Linked DNA regions of Rattus norvegicus. The protein of the gene in region 1 interacts with the protein of each later gene in a pairwise test. Links are inferred from orthologs where the notes say so. Each region holds a gene or a part of one and is shown on either strand. Other genes may lie near its edges.

Region 1 (3,632 bases):
AGTAGTTGTCAGCAAATGAACGGCATTAGGAGAGCAGGTTCTCCCCAAGTCTATTCCCTTAGACCTTGATACTCAGTCGAAGGTGTCTTTTGAGTTCTGATGTTATGTGGAGTCTGGCAGGATTTTATATTTATAGATATTAAAGATTTTCCTTTTTTTTTTGATCTCACTAAACTCAGACATCTGCCAGTATTAAAGGCTCATTCCATTATGCCCAGCTAGTACAAGCATGTGGTGCACAGACATACACGCAGATAAACCACTTACACATAAAATGACTAAGTCTAGTTACAAAAAGACACGAGGCTTGACCCTTCTCTCCAAGGGTGATGAGTTGAGGATCTTTGCCCCTTCTTTTACGGCAGTTCTATCTGAGAATTAAACTTTGTCTTGCTCTGAGCCCTGTCCGCCCCCATCCCAGGGCTGTTGTTACCTGTTTCGGTGACTTCAGGTTGTTCAGCTGGACCTTTGTCCTGAGCTGTCCTGGTGGAAAGGTTACTTGAGCATGTGGGATAGGTAGGTGGGCGATCTTGTCCCTGAAGGGAAATAGGCACTTTAGCATCTATAAGAACCTATGCTTTGGGCTGACTTCCAGAGTTGCATTCTGAAGGTTACAAAAGGATGGCCTCTGCCTTTCCAAGCCTCTCATCAGAAGAGTAAGTAGTCTGTAAAGTGTTATTTTTTTGTCCTGGCTACCTAATATTTCAGTTCTGAACAAATAGTACTAATATCCAGCAGGAAATCAAGTCATTGTTGCCTGTCAGATTTACCCAGGACTCCTATGGGCAGTTGTATAGTGTCGTAAGTTCTTTGAGTCTTTCTGTGTCTGTGAACCTCCCAGTCTTCCTTCCAGCCCTCGTACCTTCACATTAGAGCGCTCTATTCTGCTGTTCCTCCGCCTTGGCCCAGGTGTGCCAGTCCCTTGCCTCAGGCACCTCAGTGCTTGGAGAGAGCTTTTCCTCCAGTCTAATACAGCAGCCAGCAAGGAGGCAGCCAGTGTCTGGCTCCCTCCTCCTGCAGTTGCTGTGTGTTATTAAACACCATAAAGGTGACATCATTTCCCCCAGAACAAGTTTGTACAAATGCTCCCTCAATCCTTTATAGATCTCTCTTATTCTGATTTTTATGGGGGTGTGGAGGGGGGCAGTCATGTGTTCAGAGGCAGAGATTGGTATCTAATATCTTCCACCATCATTGTCTCAGATAGAGGCAGAGTCTAGAAGCTGCCACCTTACCCGGGGAATCCCCTGCCTTGACCTCCCACACACTCCCGGCATTGACTCAGGCACTACAGATGTGAACTCCAGCCCTCACGCTTGAAGGGCAAGCACTTTACCCTTTGACCCATCTCCCCAGCTCTGTTTTGTTGGGGTTTTGTTTTGGGTTCCATGTTTTCTAGGCTGGCTTCCAGCTGTCTGCGTGTGACCTAAAAGTCCCGGTCCTCTCGAGTGTTGGGATTATAGGTGTGAACCACTATACCGAATTTATGCAGTCATGGAGATTGAACCCCAAGGCTTTTTGCATGCTAGGCAAGCACTCTACCAACCAAGCCACATTGTAGCCCTTATTCTGCTTTAAATATGCACATGCCACATGTTGTGTTACCTCACGGTCAGCACTGATCTGTCCTCTCTAGGACCTGAAGTGGATCTTTGGCATTTTGTTGTTGCTCCCGATCTGGTTGAGTCTCTTGTTTGGGAAACCCTTCAGCACTTCCTAAAGCCTGATAGCATTCATGTCCAGTAATGCTCCCGGGGAGGCATTCCCCATCGGTTGTGTCCCGGTATAGTCTCATCATCGGAATGGGTGCTGTTAGCCACTGGGGATCTACTGGTCCCTCCTGCCTCGCCTGATCAGTCAGTGTTCCTTCATCTCCTGGTAACGGCATGTACAGTCAATACACCGCAAAGATAGAGTGAATTACTCCTTGGAAGGAAGTCTTTCTGTGGGGAAGGTTGTTATTCTGTCAGTTAAGCAAGCCATGTTGTAAATGTCCAACACCCGAGACCTCCACAGGCCTGGCCAGAGGGGAAGCAGCTGCCTGGCCCAACTGCCCAGCTTCCTTAATCTCGGTTTCCTCTTTCAGGTTTTCCTTCACAAGCTTTCTGTTACTCGCTGTGGTGTTTCCTTGCCTTTCTTGTACCATTTGGAGCAATCTAACCATTCTACTTCAGGATGAACAATTTATTATTCTCCCAAACAAATCCTTTTTAGAAAACAAATTCTGTTTTTAACTTCCCTCACCACAGAATGTCTTCGTACTTACTTCATAGTTGTGCCTTTCTTTGCGTTTCGCTCATGGTTCCTGCTTCCTTCCTTGAAATGCAGATCATCAGACCATGTGTTAGCTGTGGAGCAAGAAGCAAGGCTGGCTACTCTGTACAGCAAGTTCCCGCAGCCAGGCTCTCTAGTCGCAGCCAAACAGTAACAACAGAGTTATAGTTTAAAACAAACTTTACAGAAACAGCCAAATTTAGACAGTTCTTTTCAGTAAGCTATATTTTATGATTTTATGATGTCTTCATCAGAATGCAGCGCAATTCCTTTCTGTAATCTTGCTTATATAGAATTACATGCTAGTTCCAATCTTCACTCATGGTGACCTCACTTTTGGGTTCAGGTCAAGAACAAAGCAACCCTAAACTGTTTCTCTACATGCACACAGTTTAAGAAAACTTGTTTATTAACAGACCCAAACATATTTTTAGCTTTGCGAATAGATTCAAGATATATATATGTCACTGCTAAGATTACCCAAGTCTTGTAAACCTAAAGACCTCTAGTTTAATGATCAGTTCCATTTTATTTAAGCATTCATTTATCTGTAAACCTACTTGAAGAATTCTTGGGATTTTTTTTCTTTTTCAGTCATCCCCCCCCCCCCCCGCTCTCTCTCTCTCTCTCTCTCTCTCTCTCTCTCTCTCTCTCTCTCTCTCTCTCTCTCTCTCTCACACACACACACACACACACACACAAGCTTCAGACTCACTGTGTAACTCAGGCTGGTTGTTCAGCCTTCCTCTGGATTCCAGGCGTCCTGCTGTGATGGAGCTTCAGTGCTAAAGATCACTCTCCTTTTCTGTGTCAGTCACCAGCCTCTGTCCTTGTTTTGCAGCTTCTGGCTGATGCCAGCGTTTATGCTCAAGAAAATAGTTCTGGGGAACTTTTCCTCTGGCCCAGTGGACCCGATGATGGCTGATGCCATCGATTTCATGGTGGACAGGGTAAGAACGGTGACACTGTAGGCACTTCCACTGGGGTTTCCGTGCACGTGTAAAGGGGGTCCATCATCTGTGGTGTGCTCAGGGGAGGTCTTTGTGAAGCCGTCCTCTGTATTAACTGTAGTACTTCAGACAGACTCTGCTTCTTCTGGTCAGGGCTTAGCTGCATCAAGGTCTCCCAGCAGCTGCTGCACATTCAAACCCAACAGCAACTTAGAAAGCAGAGTGATGCTTGCTGGGGCCTAAACCCAGGAACCTGGCACTTGGGAGGCAGAGGTAGGCAGATCTCTGTGAGCTCAAAGCCAATCTGGTCTACAGAGTGAGTTCCAGGACAGCCAGGGCTACACAGAGAAACCCATCTTAAAAAACAAAAACAGGGGTTGGGGATTTGGCTCAGTGGTAGAGCGCTTG
Region 2 (4,141 bases), on another chromosome or scaffold:
TTTTTCATGATTTTAGCCTAGTAAGCTAATACAACTAAAGATTATGAACTGTTAGACTCACGACTAAAACTTACAATATCGTTATCTAAAACCGTTGCTATCACTGAGTCTCTGGGCTGATCTATAATGTCTTTGCAATAGAAAAAACTGGGTATAGCATCAGAGTCCAGTTAGCCATGCACATTGAGGAGTAACTCGAATACCGAAACCGCCCGATCGGGATCCGCTGAGCCTCCAGAGGGCAGTGTTGCTTTCATAGAAGAAAGACCTCTAAGGTTCCTTGGAGGCTGCTCATGGGAGTCTGCTCTGGGGTGCACTTGTCTGTTTTGAGGAGAGCAGACAAAACTCAAAACTTCCGTTTTCCTGGTCCTTTTATATAGGCTGCTACCAGGAGGTGTGACCCAGGTTTAGGGTCGGTCTTCCGGTCTCAAATGACCCAATCAAGAAAATTGCCCCCAAGCACTATGCAGCTAGCTAGGGTTTTAGATGATTCTAGACGCAGTCAGAAGGACAACCAAGATTCCTCTTCCTCTCCCTGGCCCTGGAACTGAACCCTCTGGACTTCAGCTCTACCAGCCAAGGAAGGATACTTTCCTCCCCTCCCCCACCCCACCTTAAGATTCCGCTTGAAACCAGCGCTTTGACTTTTGCTTGGTTCACAGGTACTTATTGCTTCTGTGCTGAGTGCCTCTTTACCTCACTCTCTAGGAAGCAAGTAGATCTGTGCTATTCGCTGACTTAAGGCCCCAGAGCAGAAAATCCCTAAGGTGCCCATCTAAAGGGGAAAGAACTGGTGATAGGTCACCAAGCAGGTAAACTCCCTCCACTTGAAATCAGAATCGCATCTCAGTAAATACCAGTTCTAATACTCATATAACAAAATCATATAACAAAAGCACAAACAAGTGAAACTCTTTACCCTCTACTCCGCTCCACCCTTGGGAAGCCTGAGGCTGAGAACCCGGTTCCCGCCACTCTTCCGTTCCTTCAAGAAAAGAAGGCGACCTGCCACCACGGGGCCTCTAAGCGCCCACCGCCAAGTATGCGAACTACTCACCGGGTGATGGCCCTGGCCGACTGCAGAGCAAGAGAGGCGGCGGCTCTGCGGGGAACAGGGAGGGACCTCCCGGGAAACGAAACTGAAACTTTGCCTCTCGGGTCTCTGGGGCAGGACGCGCCTTCTCTCTGTCCTGGTTGTGCAGCACCCCTGAGCCCCAAGCGAGCCAGACGCAGCCAGCCATGGCCTCCAGTCCGGACCCGCCGTCCCCACTACTCGTAAGGCTGCCGGAGTCCATCCCCCGAGCGCACATGAAGCTGGAGATATATTTCCAGAGCCGGGCCTCCGGAGGCGGGGAGTGCTCTGTTCATCCCGTGGGGCCCGGCGCCCCGGACACCTTCGAGGTGAAGTTCCTTGAAAAAGCAGGTGAGCCGGGGCAGGGGAAATAAGGCTCGGGTGCAAAGGTGGATCCAACAGGTTTCCAAACCGACCCCTGCATGCTTCCGAGGAGAGTGTGGCTCTCTCTGCCTGTGGGAGAGTGCGGTCCACAGACTCCTCCATCGCTCAGTGGCAGATAGAGCCTCAGATGAGTCCACCCGCAGACGGTTGACTCCATCGGAGAATTTCCCAGCAGACCCAGTTAAGAAAAGAAACAAAGTGTGGGGGTTGGGACTGAGAAGGAAACCCAGAAGCTTGTGCGCACTAGGCAAGTGCTCCACCACGGGTCTGGACTCCAAGCCACTTTCCTGTTGTAAATAATGATCTCATCGATGTGTTTTTTAAGGATTACAAAAGTAACATACGACCACTTTAAAAAGGAAAGGCAAATGAAAACTTAATTGAAGATTGTTTGGTTTTGGTTGGTTTTAGAGACAGGGTTTCTCCCTGTATCCCTGGCTGTCCAAGAACTCGCTCTGTAGGCTGAACACAGAGATCCTCCTGCCTCTGCTGGGATTAAAGGCATGCGGTGCCCCACTAATGTCCCCAATGAAAGCATTTTCATGCATTCTTTTTCTGAGTCAGCTAATGCATATACGTTCTAGACTTTTGGATTCTTGGGTTTTTTTGGGGGGGTCCCCACTTAACTATGCAATAACTATTATTCAACGTCATTGAAATAAGAGACTCAAAACTATTACAAAACATAGGTTTCCCTCCCACCCCCACCCTTTGAGACAGGATCCTGCCGTGTACCACGGATTGGCTTTGAATTCATGATCTCCCCCCCCCACACACACACACACCGCTACCTCTACCATTTAAGTGCTAGGACTGTGGGTGTGTACCAGCATGCCCAGACTAGAAACGTGGTTTCTAATAACCAAGTTATATAATATGGTAAAACTTAAGCTCCCTACTTTGAAGTTCTGAATAGCTTCTCCCATCAACAGCCTGCTGTTCCAGAATATGCCAGAAATAACTGTTCACGTCCTCTGTGTGCATCTGACAAGGGGCCTACAACAGATACTGCAAAGGTCCAACTTGGTAAACCAATGTGTTTATTGGGGTTACTCACAGGAATATGGGAAATGACTCAAAGACAACTCTATCGCCAAAGCTGACCTAGCATGGGGGGCAGCTCAGGAAGCTGGGAACCTGGAGCTCACTGTAGAGCCTGCAAGCAGGCTCCTGAGCATATCCCTTCCAGGTGCCTCAGCTGGTGTAAACCTCCTCCAGGGAGCTTAGTGTCCACCTTCTGCAGGTAGCTTCTCTAGTGTCAAAGTTTTCTTCTCAGCTTGGCTTGTCCGAGAGTCTCCTATGCAGATCTTCATCGAAGCTCTGTTCTTGGAGTCTCAGGAGGACTCTTCCCAACAGTCTTTATTGCTTACTCTGTCAGGGAGGGGCCTATTCAATTTCGGGGATTTCCTAAAGCTATTTTGAGTTGTTTGCCTTCTTGCTTAAGGAACTTCTCTGCAGGGTAGAATGTTTCAATCTTGGGGAAATTTACGCAACAGTTCCACACTCTAGGGTTCACCCGTAGTGTTTAGCTTGCGTGAAGGATTAAAAATTCATCTAGAAATTCTTAAAAGTCTCTGTGGGCAGTGGTGGCACATGCCTTTAATTACAGCACTCTGGAGGCAGAGGCAGGCAGATCTCTGTGAGTTCAAGGCCAGCCTGATCTACACCGGGAGTTTCAGGGCAGCCAGGACTACCTGGTGTCTCAAAAACAAACAAACAAACACAAAAGCATAGGGGAGAGTATGCGTAGCTTATGTGAAAGCCCTAAGCTTGTTAGGGATATCGCTGAAGGTGGTGTCCTCGGACATTTCTGGAATCAACCTAGAGGGACCCTGAGGGTCATTTCTGTAAATCCTCTCTCATTGCTGTGTGAATGTATGTGTTTAATGTCTCCCCTCAAGATAAGGAGAATGTGTTGAAAAGGGGAAAACACAAGCTGTTGGTTGATGACAAATCTGTGCCTATTGTCCTGGAAACTATTAAAAAGCCAGAAGAGGACCTGAGACCCAGACCTCCATCACTGACACAGCCAGCTGAGACACCAAGCTCCCGACCTCCGTCCTTGACAGAGTCCCTGGATGAAGCACTGGGTGATAAGATACCCAGTGATGGGCCCGTTTTTAACTCTGTTGACTCAGTTGTCCAAAAGGTGAGTGCTGACAGAGGAGCTGGGCTGCTCTGGGGTCTGCTTCCCCTCGGGGTATTCAGGCAGTGTTGTGCACAGGTAAGAATGAAGCTTAGTTGGAACAGGTAGATTATCAGGATCTCAGTCAGCCTGAGTTAGGGAGAAACAGCCTTCTCTGGACATGGGTTTCAGTGAGACATCCTTCTTGTTACACTGGAGAAGGGTGAACAAGGCTATATAAACCTGAGAAAGTAGGTAGGAGTTTGGGGGGGGTGAGTGTCTTCTTTTTATTTTATTTATTTGCTTATTTTTGTTTTTGTTTATGTTTTTTTTTCAAGACAAGGTTTCTGTATATAGTCCTGGCTGTCCTGGTCACTCTGTAGACCAGCGTGGCCTCAAACTCAGAGATTACCTGCCTCTGCCTCCTGAGTGCTGAGATTAAAGGCCTATGCTACCACTTCTTGGCTGCTTTGGGGTTTTCTTAAAGTAAGAGGGTAAGAAAAGGTAAGGTGAGATGAGAAAGGGCGAGACTCCTTCTGGGATTTAGAGCTACTTTAGGA

What was found. The genes of interacting proteins can lie anywhere in the genome.
Region 2: the proteins of Spg21 (region 1) and Dtx3l interact in binary tests that used the Homo sapiens proteins (3 or more experiments, as listed by UniProt). The two-hybrid records come from large-scale screens. The link is inferred for Rattus norvegicus from reciprocal best matches to the Homo sapiens genes SPG21 and DTX3L.

Annotation. Positions count from the first base shown.
Region 1 is NC_086026.1:74,893,106-74,896,737, forward strand, and holds part of Spg21 (maspardin), read left to right. Parts: intron 1-3,115; coding exon 3,116-3,224; intron 3,225-3,632. UniProt on the Homo sapiens protein: May play a role as a negative regulatory factor in CD4-dependent T-cell activation.
Region 2 is NC_086029.1:78,319,100-78,323,240, forward strand, and holds the start of Dtx3l (E3 ubiquitin-protein ligase DTX3L), read left to right. Parts: upstream 1-1,239; coding exon 1,240-1,423; intron 1,424-3,357; coding exon 3,358-3,605; intron 3,606-4,141. Other genes in the region: protein mono-ADP-ribosyltransferase PARP9, read right to left, coding at 1,058-1,310.